2 linked regions of the Styela clava genome follow. The protein of the gene in region 2 binds, or shares a complex with, the protein of the main gene of each other region. Links are inferred from orthologs where the notes say so. Each region holds a gene or a part of one and is shown on either strand. Other genes may lie near its edges.

What was found.
Region 1: RING-type E3 ubiquitin-protein ligase PPIL2-like (region 2) and G-patch domain and KOW motifs-containing protein-like share a complex: the UniProt entries of both Homo sapiens proteins name them as parts of the minor spliceosome. The link is inferred for Styela clava from reciprocal best matches to the Homo sapiens genes PPIL2 and GPKOW.

Annotation. Positions count from the first base shown.
Region 1 is NC_135251.1:15,497,635-15,504,717, reverse strand, and holds G-patch domain and KOW motifs-containing protein-like, read right to left. Parts: upstream 3,115-7,083; 5' UTR 2,570-3,114; coding exon 1,079-2,569; 3' UTR 530-1,078; downstream 1-529. Other genes in the region: uncharacterized protein LOC120335364, read right to left, coding at 80-198, 272-347. UniProt on the Homo sapiens protein: RNA-binding protein involved in pre-mRNA splicing. As a component of the minor spliceosome, involved in the splicing of U12-type introns in pre-mRNAs.
Region 2 is NC_135252.1:15,071,141-15,078,727, forward strand, and holds the start of RING-type E3 ubiquitin-protein ligase PPIL2-like, read left to right. Parts: upstream 1-4,581; 5' UTR 4,582-4,739; coding exon 4,740-4,771; intron 4,772-5,127; coding exon 5,128-5,286; intron 5,287-5,367; coding exon 5,368-5,500; intron 5,501-5,703; coding exon 5,704-5,856; intron 5,857-5,950; coding exon 5,951-6,026; intron 6,027-6,580; coding exon 6,581-6,735; intron 6,736-7,160; coding exon 7,161-7,244; intron 7,245-7,524; coding exon 7,525-7,587. UniProt on the Homo sapiens protein: Has a ubiquitin-protein ligase activity acting as an E3 ubiquitin protein ligase or as an ubiquitin-ubiquitin ligase promoting elongation of ubiquitin chains on substrates.

The DNA of each region.
Region 1 (7,083 bases), on a different chromosome or scaffold from region 2:
GAATTTTCTAATTTTAACAAAACTGAGACTGAGTATCAAGAAAAATTTTATGATCAATCTAATTACATGAAATACCCACCTGATGCGGATAAGAGCTTTGGTGTTTTGGAGGCCTTGGATCCTGCCATGTAGTTGTTTGGTTTCTATGATCAATGAAAAAGGGCCATCCTGTTGCCTCGTCAATCCTCATTTCCCATCCTGATTCAAAACATTATCAAAGCTCAGGACCAGGAAATTTATGGTCAACATTAATAGAAAATTAAGGACATACCTGGAGGAAGTGGATCCATTGATATGTTTGGAGGTGGAGGGGGGTAGTAATTATTAGTCGGATGTGGATACGACATTTTTTTCGTCTGTTTGTACCTAGATATTGAGCTATTCACAGTGTGGTTCAGGCAAATATTGAGTCACTGCAGTGCAGGGTTGGTTAGTACTTCACTATCATTTGTGTTATTGATGAAGGTATATCCAATCAATTTAATGATGGAATGCTTATAAAAGCTAAAAATTATTACTACCCTATTACTGAAAAGACATCATTACAAAACATAAATATAAAAGTGCGATAGAAATTCCATTTTAATACAATTCATCATCTGCAATTGTTAGAAGCAACAATAAAGAGATATTATCACTTGCAGAATACTCGTATTGTCTATTTTTTGTCAAATTAGGAATCGAAAACCGTTCGTTCAACATTGGCAATACTTGGATGACTGATATAAAATTTCTGTGTGTGAACAGTATTTAGTCAATTTATTTTACCATGTTTTAGGAGATTAATTGATAATTATCGAAGCATAAATTTAGAAATCAAATCAGTTAGCAGAGTAGTAGTTTATATCAAAATCATATTATGATAAACTTGTTGATATAAGATTGTTTTTTATCCAAAGGCATCAGGTTATAGAAAATGAACAAAATTACAAATCGTATCTAAATTTATAAAACACATATCTAAATGATAAGGTTTTCGAATTCCAATAAAGGCATCCAAAATATATTGAAAACGCTGTAACATCTTACCATCAACCTAACGGCAAAATATAATTAATGCTTTTTATTTTGGGCAAAATTAAAACATCATACTGGCTTCAACATCGCCAGTATACTCGCACATTTCTTCAAAAGCAACCCGAACCACAACATCTCTATCTTCAATTAACTGAACCAGAGCTTCACAATTTGCTTTATCTTTTTCTAGAATTTTAGCAAGTTTCCCTGAATGTTTCGATTTGAATTTTGATTTCACTATAATTATATAAGAATCGGAAGCTGATTTTGGAATAACTGTTTCTAACATTGATTCTTCAATATCATCCAACAATCTACCATCTGTCGTTTTGCAGCAACAAAGTCCACCACCTAAAACATCTTCAATAATTACTTTTTCAAGATAGTATCTGCCTTTTTTGTACGATTTATCAACAATTCTGACTCTCATTTGAGGTTGTACCCAATGCGAGAGAGTAGAATTTGAGTCTTGTTTTGGAGAAATCTCTCTATTTGACTTATGTTTCTTTGATTTTTTATGTTTTGGTGGTGAATATTCTTTGTGTCTTCTTTTCCTTTTTTCTTTATGCTTCATATCTGTATCTTTTTGGTGTGACATAGCTCTGTCAGAACCTGGTGATTCTCGTCTTTTATCATTTTCCTCTGTATTTTTTCCATTACCTATTATAAGCATGTTATCCCCAGTATATGCTTTGCTAAGTCTACTTAAATCCTTCGCATTTTTATCATATTCCTTTTTTGTAACAACTCTAAGACAGTGTTGTCCAATTTGTTCAGATTTACCCCCTATTGCCATTTTGACAATACATCTTGCAGTCTCAATGTCTAGGCCCAAAATGACACCATATTTGTTTCTCAATGCGCCCCTGTGAATGAATACGTTAGCACCTTTTTCAAGTGCTAATTGATTTTCCTCTATATGAGTTTCATCTCGATTTGTAGTCTTAGTTGTATCAGCTTTTATTGGGGTAGCCACATCAGCACCAAGACCTAAACCTTTAGGCCTAACTTGCTGGTGCAACATTTCTGTGTTTTGTTTGAAAGTTCGGCCAATTCCCACTTCAGGTTTCCAACCCATCCCACGCAGTACTGCCATGCCAAATGCAGCCACAGGGATTTGATCATATTGGGCCTCTGATGCTTCATCAGGTCGCAATGATACATCTAGTTTATTATCAGTTTCATATCCCTCGGGCACCTTATTTTTCATAAGAAGTGGCACTGCAAGATTTTCAAAATCTTCTCCGTTTTGATCAGTATCTTCTAAAAATGTTTTAGATTCTGCAAGAATTTCTTTAGCTGCTTCCGCATCAATACTACTGATAACATTTTCTGCTGATGTCTTTTGTTTATTCACAGATGTTGGTATTTTATAAACATTTTGTTTAATTAGGGGTATAACCAAATCCCTTGGTGGTTCTTTCTGAAGTTTAGTTGATTTTATTACTTTTCCTTCTACGGTTTCAAGATAATCCGGCTCTTCATTTTTAGGCTTTTCAACATTCACAACCTTGGATTCTATTTTCTTCTTGAATCCAAAGGAAACTGACATTATGACAAACTCTAAAATATAGCAATAAGAATGGTTAATTTTCTAAGAAAATATAAAATTCAATTTTGCTGTTTGGTATTCACTTCATTCATTTTAAAGTTTACTGATTAACAGATTAAAGAAATAATAAGCAATCAAAAATCAATTTATACTTCAATTGTCTCAACTTCAACTGTCATTTCCTTAGATCTGTAGATTTTGACATATCAAAATGTGTTACCATACAGCCATAGCTTTTCAAGGTAATGTTCAGATGTCTGAGTGTAAAATGACAATAACTTGTACGACGAGTTCAAAATAGATTAGGCTATCTCGATCTGTGATGTGCAACCCCGCATGCGGCTCTCAAATACTCTTCCTGCTGTCCCGCTGCGGCTTTCATTATCCTTTAAAAATCATCATATTCAATGAAAGCTATTTTTATCTCAACCTGATACGGTACCGGTAGTTCAGTAATTTGCTCGTGATTTGAGCTTGGTCTGAAAGCTCAAAGATCGGCTTAGAATATTCTGAGAACTTCCATCGGTCGACTTCACTAACACATAATGTTAAATATGAATTCGATCCATAGCGCCATCACGCGACAGAATAAAGCAGTTGTGACAGGATACTGAGGAGTAAGAACGGAAAAGAACAATTTAGTGCAAGTGATGAGACGGATTAACAATATCGCGTACCACAGCGTCTCGTCCGATCACTAGTTCTTGTCGGGTGTGGGGTTAGATAGTCAGTTATTTGTTTCAGATGCATGGACTCGACGGGTGATGAAGCAGCCTCTACGAACCCACATAGGGTAATCGGAGGTATAACGATAAGTTTATTTCGACTCCATAATCAGCAACAGACGATAAAAAAATTGATAAAAACAAAATAATTAAAACTGATTATAGAATTGGAAAAGTAAACCAAACCTCAAGTAAGGTTTGAAGCGTACAGATTTTAGGTGGGAAGGTATTGATACAAGAAGTAGTGCGTGTTCGCTTACCCAAAAGGTGCTATTGTCACGGACTAAACACTAAAGTGTCCGTGTTTATATGGACCTTTCCCCGCCCTTTGACCCCCGTAAAATTCTTCCTATACTTTACCATTGCAAAATTTTCAGTGCTATTTTCGGAGTGCTTTTGCGAGTTAGCGCCTGTAAAATGGGGTATGTGTTTCAAACCATCATTATGCTTCATCGCACACAACAATCTGTTTTTTAAAAGTACCGGTAAAAAATTTCAGGCTAGTCTATCACAGCTATTTCTACACTAATTTTTATTACTGCAATTAAATTAAAACTTCTAGGAAGACAGAGTGGTCATTGAATTATCTGATTTTTATTTAAGTTTCCGAAACACAACTGAAAACAAACGAATAGGGTTCAAAAACGAGGTTTACAACCACGCTTGAAAATCTGTCTGAGTGAGAAAAGTGTCTGAGCGGATGGGAAAAGGGGGCATTGTTACGTCACTTTTTGCATCTTGCTGATTGGCCAATGTCACGAAGTAAACACGGAAGTCGATGCTCGGGGAAAGGTCCATTGTGTGTATATATTTTTTTTATGTTTATAGACTAGTATGTTTACCCTTGTTTAATGCTGTTTTGTCGGATCTGGACTCCGACCACTGACACGTAAGAAAAAAACTACCTATGTCTTTTCCCCTTTTTTCTGCGGCTGCTGCGCTGGCGGGCGGTCGTGTTTTTTAGTTCTTTAGTGATGTAATCTGTTATGCTGTTTTAAGTTTGATATTGGAGTTGCCGTGCAATAAACAACCAATCCTGAATTCTTGAGTCTTCTGATTCATCTACATTCTACAACCACAGAAGCAACATTTTTTTTACCGTGACACTATGACAAGTGAATGCGATGCGCCATCGGCCGCGCCGATCAGCCTGGCTTATTTAGACAAAAAATGAAATAAACCTACTCGATTTCGTTGAATCAATGAGCATATATGCTCATTGGTTGATTAAAGCGTGACATGCTTTTTTTTGTCTTTTGAATGCTGTTATTTGATATTACTGCTATATTTTGTGTTTTAACTTTGGAGACACCGAGACGCTACGGCACTGTCACTCTTTCTTTTGTTATCCTGTTAGAGAAGGCTGTGGATTGCAGTAATGTAGCTGCGGTTGTTTCAGTTAGATTTTTAGTGTTCTTGGGTCTTTTTAAGTCTGTAAAATTGTCCCTAGTTCTTAAATAGGTGACCTAATGTGTTTAAATCTGGATAGGCTTAGATATTGTTATGTTAGTCAATAGGATGATACCGGTATAGCAAAGGGTTCCACTGGAACATGTGATGAGGGGTTATGTTCAGGCCGGAACGACAACCGGATAAATTTGATTGATCGAAACATTTGGGCTCATTTTTGTACCATTTTAAGGCTATAGCCGAGTCTAATGGTTGGGATATATGTGGACACGATGGGGGAGTGAATTAGGCATTTGCATGGTAGGCAATGCTCTGAGTCATTGAATTGATTGTGAACGAACGTGAATGCTTTGAGGCTATCGTACGCCATTTTAAAAAGTATTTCGAAGTGAAGGGGGTATTGAAATGCTTCGAGCCGTTTTCGGTCAGTCCGCGAAGCTGGCAAGAGAAACCAATAATGAATTTGGCGGTGCATTGAAACAGCTAGCTAGTCGAGCTTATCCATAATTGAAGCCTTAGGATAAGGATTAAGAATGACTTGGCCAAATCGCAATTTTTGTGAAGGTTATACAAGTTTCATTTCCACATTGGCCTTTGCAATCCGCCATGTTGAAAGATGTAATGTCGTTGGCTACCAGATATTAAAGTTATGAAAGGCCATGGCAAGCCACAAAAGAGGGAACCAAATTTAAGCTACCGTAGCAACCGTAGCAATTTCTAACGATGAGATATTTGGGGCTGATATTACCAACGAGATCCCGTGTATCCCCAAGTTCCATTATCCCTTGTTTCAGATGCGGTCAAGTGGAACATAGAATCAGTGATTGTCGCAGACCACCAACTCTTACACCACCGTCTACGGCTCTAGGCCATGTCCCTACTATAAGCAAACGGGTCATTGGGCACGAGATTTTCCAAATCCAGTTTTCGGTGTGGACAACAGGGACACATATGCCCCCTGGCGCCAAGGTACAGGAGCGCCAAAATTTCACCGAAATTGGAGATTGCAGAATGCTGCTCAGTAACTGAAGGTCAACCAGAAACTCCTTTGGCTTTTCTTGGCTTTATTGTGTCTTTTGGTGACGACGTTTTCCCGAATCTGCGATTTTCTCCACAGATTTTGTTAACAATACCAGTTTCAATTGCATGCTGTGAACGGTCTTTCAGCAAATTGAAACTTATTTTGTCGTATTGGCGTGCATCAATGGGACATGATCGTCTCAGTGATCTAACACTTCTAAGTGTTGAGAAAGAAACATTGGAAAAAACAGATTTTGATGACGTGATTAACCAGTTTGCGACAGTGAAATCAAGAAAAATAAATTTATTGTAGACTATGTAAATCAACTTTGACAGTAACTGAGTGGGACATAATAGACATGTGCTATATTTTGTACAGCTTTACCTCTTCTTTAAATGAAATATTCCATTAAAATTTGAATTGTTTTTTCATATACAATTAAATGTAATAGAAAATATGATTGAACGTGGAGGTCGGAGCGCCAATTTTATAGTTTGCCCCGGGAGCAAAATATTCTGGCTACGCCTCTGCCCGGCGTCTTGGCTGGGCAAGGAGACAAATAGCGGAGGACACTGTTGACAAGATGCTTGAACAAGAAGTGATTGAGCTGAGTGATAGCCCGCACTCGTTACCAATTGTTCTGATACCTAAGAAAGATGGTAGTACGCGTTTTTGTATTGATTTTAGGCACCTAATTCAATTACCTACAGGTCCTACATAGATGGTTCCCCTTTAACTCGAATAGATGACATCGTGGGGTCATTTAGCGGATCAAGCTGGTTCTCAACACTTGACTTAGCTAGTGGATACTGCCAGGTAGAAGTTGATCTGCCTGGCAAAAAGAAAACCGTTTTCAGTCGGGAAATGTTGTTCAAATTATTTGGATGATGTTTTAGCCCACGAATGGGATTTTGACGCCTCATTGAGCAGTTTGAGGGAGATTTTCATTCGAGGTGCTGGTTTGAAACATAAGCCGACTAAACGCCAGTTGTGTTGGCAATCAGTTACCTACCTTGGATACAAAATTTCTTCCGAAGGAGTTTGCTGTGATCTTCCCAATGTAGCAACAATAGTCGAATGGGAAACGCCTCGAGTAATATCAGATCTTAGAAGTTTCTTGGAAACTGCCGACTATTATAGGCGTTTTGTATCTGGTTATGCCACCCTAGCATCTCCTCTGGTTCGTTGGATTAAAAAAACGTGAATTATGAGTGTCAGCTCATATTCTGGCTTTTCGTTTGGTTCAAGGGGAGTTTATTTTGGACACCGACGCGAGTATTACTGGTGCTGTTTTATCACAACTGCAAGGGGGGGGGGACATGCTTATTTCAGTAGGACTCTATCTAAGACGGAACGTC
Region 2 (7,587 bases):
CCTACATAGTACTCGATATCTACCGTACTAGAGAACTGGTTATTGGTATACATAAAATTCAAGCTAAGCGCCCTCAAGCTTAGATAAACAACGAAGACGCTCTGTTTACATGGTGGTGTGTCTGTGTGGTGTCCAAATGCTGTAATGTCAGAATGTGATGTCACAATGTTGGCCTAACCTTTTCCATGTATTTGTTTTTTGTATTTGTTTTGCTTATTTATTCTAACGACTCTTTTATTTTTACTTTTATTATATAGCAAATCTTACACAAAACGCCGGATATTAACGCGACCAAATCAAAACTACAAAACTATTGTAACGTATTGATGACACAAGGTCCACTACTTGGACTCCCGACCGTTGTGGTTCGACTTTTGCGTGGCGATGCGTAGAAAATAAACAATTGTCTGAAGCGCGAGCTCGCGAGAATAACAAGTTACGTAAGATACGATGAACTACTCTAGCGAAACGACACCACGCTCGATCGCCCAAGGCGTTTGTATTCATCAGCCACGATCATACGCGGGGATAGGGTAAGGCGTAAACATAAAAAAGGGATGTTTTTTTTGGACACGTAGTGGACATAACGATCGTTTCAATATTATGTTGTTGTTGTTCTTGTTCTTGTTATCCTTGTTGTTGTTGTTCTTTGACACGTTTTTAAAAAGTCGCTTTTCTCTTCGAATACTGGACCAATTGCTTTGAAATTTTCAGTGGTTGAAGATAAAATTTTTCTCCAGAAGGCTATTACTTTTTTTTTCGCTATGACGTCATCAAAATTATTGCCATTGGGTGGCGCTACGTGTCCATATATTTGAGCATAGCTCTCTTGTTTAATAACAAATTCAAAATAAAGTCCACATATTGCAGTTAAAATCGACAATCTAACAACCGGAATACTACGAGGTAAGGTCGGCCTACACATAAATGAAGTCACTATACTCACTCACAAAATACATTTCTCCATATACCACTCTAATCAGATAGTTGAGAACGTTCAACAAAGTCTTTAATCGTCAAATTCATACCTACAATTGTATTGTACAATCGAATACCCAATACCGTGATTTTGCATACTTTCGCCGAAGCATTGGTCGTTGTGGGATTTTGGATGCAAATTTAAAATTTCGGAATACGGATTTCCTGGTGGTTTTTCCTAACAATCCCGGGATTTTGGGAGGATAAAAAAAGATTTGAAAACGTGCACACATAAGCTGATAATTTGAAAGGTACAAATATTTCTTCCGTGTAATAATGACGCGTACTCTCCAGCGCACCAAGTCTGTTGTTAAATTATAGGTCCGACGATGGCCGAATAAATGTGGATCAATTATATTATCACTAATGTTGCTCTTCTAATGACTCGGCAATCCTCTGCGCCCGAATGCCGTGAGTATGAACAATTAAGGTATTGCATTCAAACTTCGGAAACAAAATTTATTTAGACAGCATAACCGTGGAAGAAATGTTTGGTAAAAGCAAAAACTGCCCTCTCACAATCTTCGTAATTTCTTCTAAATAATTTCAGGCTAGGGAAAATTTTTGACTGACTTTATTTACACCATCGTTGGTTCTGCGTGGCGCTTACTACTCTTTTTGCTTCGCTAACTACTACTGAGTTTACGGTTTTCGCTAGCTCCATTTCCCCAAACTGAAGAACCTTTCACTCTTCTTAATTTTCGTGTAGGTCCTCTTACCTCTTTCACAGACCCGGTCATCTGCGTCGACACAGAACTATTAGCTACTTTTCCATTGATGCCTTTTACACCCGTTCCACTTTCACACCTTTTTGTTCGGTCGTGGTCTTTTCTTTATGTCGGTACCCTTTCTTACTTCTATTGCATGCTGCTAGTCTTGCATGGCAATCTTGACACCTTCCCCTCTTGACTTCTCCAGCTGTGTCTCTACAGAGATACTTCTTTAATGGTGGCGTTTTTTGCTTGGCTCACTTCCATTACTTTTTACAGAGCAATCTGCACACCTTCATATACGGGACTTCTCTATCCATCGCAGTTCTTTTCTTTTTCTTGACAACCTGTCTCGACAGAATTTTCCTATGTACACACGGTGCTTTGCTCCTAATAAATTATATTCACACCATACCTAGCCTGAGGTATTGCCATAGCTTGAATGTGGGCTTGCCTCTGATGTCGTTCGATATTTGTGCAGATAACATGATAGTCCTTTTACAATCGTCGTTCCTTTCACTTATTCGTTACTGCGCAAAAATAAATTTCGCTAAAGGTACGGAATGGACGCTCAAAGGACGAAAAATACAATTGTAAAAGTACATCACAATTCACAAAGCAAAGTCGGACATCAATTATCAGCATTTATAGTAGCATATTGTCCATTGAGTCTTCTTACAATTTAATAATTCATTAAATAGATAATATAAAAAGTCAGATGATAAGATGTATATACCTTCCTTTCCCCCTATTAACAAAACACCTAGCATGGTAACTCGCTTTTCCAACTTGCATTGAATATTATTGTATACTATACACATTCATCATCGGTTTATATTGAAGTGAAGCATATCAAATGGAGTCGCTTAGAAACGGTGACAAAGTCGGCGGCGGTAGCTAATAAAAATGACACTTGCATTGTTACACTTTGATGTTGTCATCAGACGCTGATCACAGTAGAACGTCACAGCACATATTACCTTCAGTTCTAACCCATGCACGGTTTTGGGTATTGTCTACACCAGCGTTTCCCAAACTTTTTCGGCCACGAAACACTTAGAATTTTTATCTCGCCTCACGGAACACCAAAAAATGGAAAGCTAAAATTGATAAAGAAAAACGGTGTAATGTAGCGGTTCCCAATAGGTTTGCCGTGACGAGTTGCCAAATGCGCCGCGAAAACTAACAGGATTGTGTTAAACCGTAAATATATACTACTACGGTTAAACATACCTGAAATATGATTGAATATTTTACATATTGCATTTAATATAAATTTTTTATTGTTTCCTAATTTAAATGCTGTGTATATGAATCAATAAATTCACCAATTCACAATTTTTACCTGACTATGTCGTTTACTTTCCATCACGTAGTGTTTGCCTCCAATGTTACCTCTAATGGAGATAAAAGTACTTGCTGCAATTTCGCGAGCTGCAGTTTATTTATCTGCTGAATTGAATTTAGCGAACATGATGTAATTTTTCAGCATTTCATGGTAAAACCAGGCAGAGACGGAGGAAGAAGAGTTGACCTTTTGCATTTATTCTTTAGACCTACTTGTTTGCTTATAACAAAACCAAAAGGATTGCTGTAAACTTGGGGTTACCATATTTTTGTGACCTCAAAGCGGGACGCCTCCAAAGGCCGTAGCTGTGTTTTTTTCAACTTCAAATTTACCGATTTTACATTAGGCACACATTTAAAACCATCCCGGCTGTCTTCATTGACTATATATATTGTCATCGAGAGTGCACGCGGTGTCTGTCTAAAAATCGGTTTCAATTCAATAAATAGAAAGGACTTTATGTTAAGCGCCCTTTTGGCGTCTGGGGCTCACACGTAACAAATTGTAGCAATTAACCGCTAATAATGTTAGCGAAAAACAACGAAACAAACAAAACCACGCATCCACCTTCAGTAAGTATGCTACCACCGGTACGCCACACAGCAACAACAGTTGCTGATCAATCAGTTTTTCATTCTTCAATAAATGTATTCCTTGGAATTTTATTGCAGGTCGTTTATGGAAACTTATGCGTCCAGCATTCAGTCCTTGGCAAAAGATATTTCTTTCCATCATCGTTTTTCTTGTTCATTTCCGTATGAATGACAACTCAGAAAAAAGCAAACAATGTATAAGCTAAATAAATGAAATGCGACACTATTTTCACGTAGATATATTTGCACCCATCGTTATAAACATTGGCTCACTTTCAAGGTTTCGCGTGATAATTGTCAGTACTGTATTTAGTTGCGTTGCCAAAATTTAGTTACAAGTCATTTTGTCATCCGACTAGTTTGGTTTCGGTATTCAATCTCTAAAAATTTCCGATACACTTTCACTTTTATGAATTAACTATCGTTTGGATACCGGTGCTTTTAAATTGAATTTGGATACTTCAAATATGATGGTTATAAACCAAAAATGAACCATCTTATCAAACTTCAATTCCGAAAAGCACTCTCAAAATACGCCACAAAAATCTGTGTAATTTTTTGGCTGTACTAACGCGCACACGGTTACCGACGGTAACGGCTCTAGCTCACGGTAACTTACCGTGAGCTAGAGCTACAGAGTCAAAAACTACGCTGGATCCAAGTCTGTAAATAAAGCTACTGCAAAAAGTGCACTTCATGATTATAATTAATGCTAATGAATAAATATTGTATTAATGATTAATGTTCAAAATACATACTGGATATACCAATGGAAAAATGGACTATTATGGAACAACTACTCTGCTGAAGTGCTGATGATGTATTTGTTTTGTCACTTGTATACACTTATTTATTGATATCCCTATATTATTTTATTTATTCTTTAATTATTGATTGATCCACATTGTGGAAACATTAAAAAAAAAAAAAGTGCACTTTCCAAATTTCATTGTTATCAGAATTTCGTGTGGTGCCGTATACATCATTCGTATTAACAGTTACCGTACCGTATTAATTTGTCAATTCCTGAATTCGTCAATTGGTTAGGAAGAAAGTCTTGTTGTAGCTTGTTTTAAACCAGTTGGATTAGCTAAGTGCCGAGACTGCAAGATGGGGAAGAGGCAACATCAATCAGATAAGATGTAAGTTTGAAAATACACTGCTGGTACTGCTGTAGGTGTTAAGCTAGTTATTTTAATTAATTGAATTTTTGTTCAGTCTTTAATTGAAAAGAGTTGCAATGCAATATTTTAAAGGATTAGGTAATACTGATGCTAAAATCCCAGAATCATGGAATGTTCGATGACAATGAAAATTTTAGAATTATATTTGATGATAACAATTAATGTGATATTGTTTTTTTTTATTTATTTCATTGTATATTAAAATGCATGTTTTTCTTAGTGTCTAATCGCAGAATTAAGTTTATGGTAATGACAAATTAGAAAAATCTTCCCCGTAAGAGAATGTAGTATTTTCTGTAATTTTATTTTTTCAGGTATATAACAGGCAAGGAATGGTCTGCATTTTATGGTGGTCATCGGAAGAAAATAGAAAATGCAGATTTTCGCAGACTCCCATTCTTTTGCTGCAGTTTGTCTATGCAACCATTTGATACCCCAATGTGTACCAAAGATGGTCATATTTTCGATCTTTTGTAAGTTACAGTTTAAAATTAAATTTTATAAGTTTGATCTCATTCATACATCAACATGATACTTAATTATTTCAAATCCAGGAGCATCATCCCTTGGCTAAAGAAATATGGGACAAATCCAATCACGGGGAAGAAAATGGACGCAAAATCTCTTGTGAAACTTAATTTTCATAAAAATGCGGATGGAAAATATCACTGCCCAGTTTTGTTTAAGGTTCGTTTCCATAGCTTTTGTTTTATATTACATTGCTTCAATAAAAATTCACAAAAGTCATTATTTACCCTTGAACTGCATGAATAATCTGTTTTAACATAGGCCTGTTACTTTCTTAAAGCTCACAAATGTTATATGTAGGCCTTCCTATATTATAACAATATATTCACCTCGAATTATATTGACATCTTTCAATAATACAGGTTTTTAACGAAAATACTCACATTGTGGCTGTTTCAAAGACTGGAAACGTTTATTCTTATGATGCAATTGAACAACTGAACATCAAACCTAAAAATTGGAGAGATTTGCTCACAGATGAAATATTTGCGAGAAGTGATTTGATAACAATACAGGTGTTTTATTATTTTGATTAAACGAATTATATTCAATATTATTATTAACAACTTATGTCCTGTGTTTTGTTAACATGGAACATAATTATTTCAGGATCCAACAAACTTGGACAAATTTAACCTACAATCATTTCATCATCTCAAACACAATTTGAGACTTCCAGAAGCAGGTGTGTTCTATTTGTTTTTGACTCTTTACTTACCTACCACCCTGCAATGATTTTTAAATAGCACAGCTGATTGAATCAAGATTGGCATCCGAACTGCAATTCTTTCCCATCGAAGAAATTCTTTGCTCTGATTATTTTACAGATTTTACAATCGACTGTGTTCTTGTAATCAGCTATCATAATTGGCTGTGAGCTCATTCATCTTTTGTCTATTCACAGACCATACAAAAAACTTTTATGTCACAATTTTTTTTCAAGAGTTTCAGTTATATGGAGTTCCCTACCTTATAGCTAACTTCCTAATCGCTCTCATTGAACCGCTTCGAGTCTTGCATTAATTGGTTCATACTAACGCATAATGCATCACCATAATTCGTATAGTTTAGTAGCTTTTAGTGGTTGCCTTTCCGTTACCTCTTTCGGAGATCAGTCATTTACGTAGGAGCAAGCATGCGATGTATTGATTTGGGAAACTTCAAAAGTTTTGAAGCTTTTCACATTTGTCCATCTGATTGTTTTATTGATTTGATTGTATATAACTCTTATAATTTCAGACGCTAATTTTCGATCAAAGCCTGGATATTTTCTAAACAGCACAAATGCAGAACTAGAGCAAACTATGGATGAATTGAATAAATCCTATAAGGGAGACGAAATATTAAAAGAAAAACCTGTTGCGAAAAAATCTAAAGTGGATAAATTTAATGCCGTGAGTTTATTTTTCCCTCTATGTTTATATATAATGAATTTAATTTAGGTTTTATATGATTGTATTGTGATTGATATGATATTCCATTGGTCGCAGCTGTAGGAACATAAAATCAAAATTTTTTTATGTGAAATTTTGTTTATTTTATCAATTAAAAATAACTTTATTTAATCACTGTGACTGTTGTATTGATGTCGTTTTGAATATTTGAAATAAGAATTATCAATCATAGTATATTTGCGAATTATTTCTATTTATTTTGCTCTTTTATTCTTCATTATTTAAAGGTGAAAAGTTCTGTAAGAGAGATAATATAATTTAAAGTGCTTCCTACAGGGACATATGCAAATAAACTAAATATGCAATTTATATATATATTTATTTTTTATTTTCACTGAAAAAATTCTCATTTGTTGTATATTTAGGCTCATTATTCAACTGGAACTGTTTCTGCTTCATTTACATCTACAGCTGCAGTTCCACAACTTGAAACTGAAACCGCAGTGTTGGTGAGTTATAAATTAAGGGGATATATAATTTTTCTATTTGTCTGTGAATTGAAAAGAAAAATAGAGGTAGATTTACATGTATTATGAAATATAGATTTTTGTTAGCGTCCTTCATTTCCCTTTATTAGAACATTTATCAATATCCAAAGTTTATATTTATAAAAAATTTGTTTTTAAAAATCAGCAAAATATATCTTTTTATCATATCTTTCCAATTATTTCCTGTTACAATATAAGGTAATGATCAGAATGTGCAAACTGTACTATTTACTACTCATAGGATGATGATGTGGTTCGTTACGGATTTGTAAAAACAAAAGGATATGTGAGATTACAAACAAAC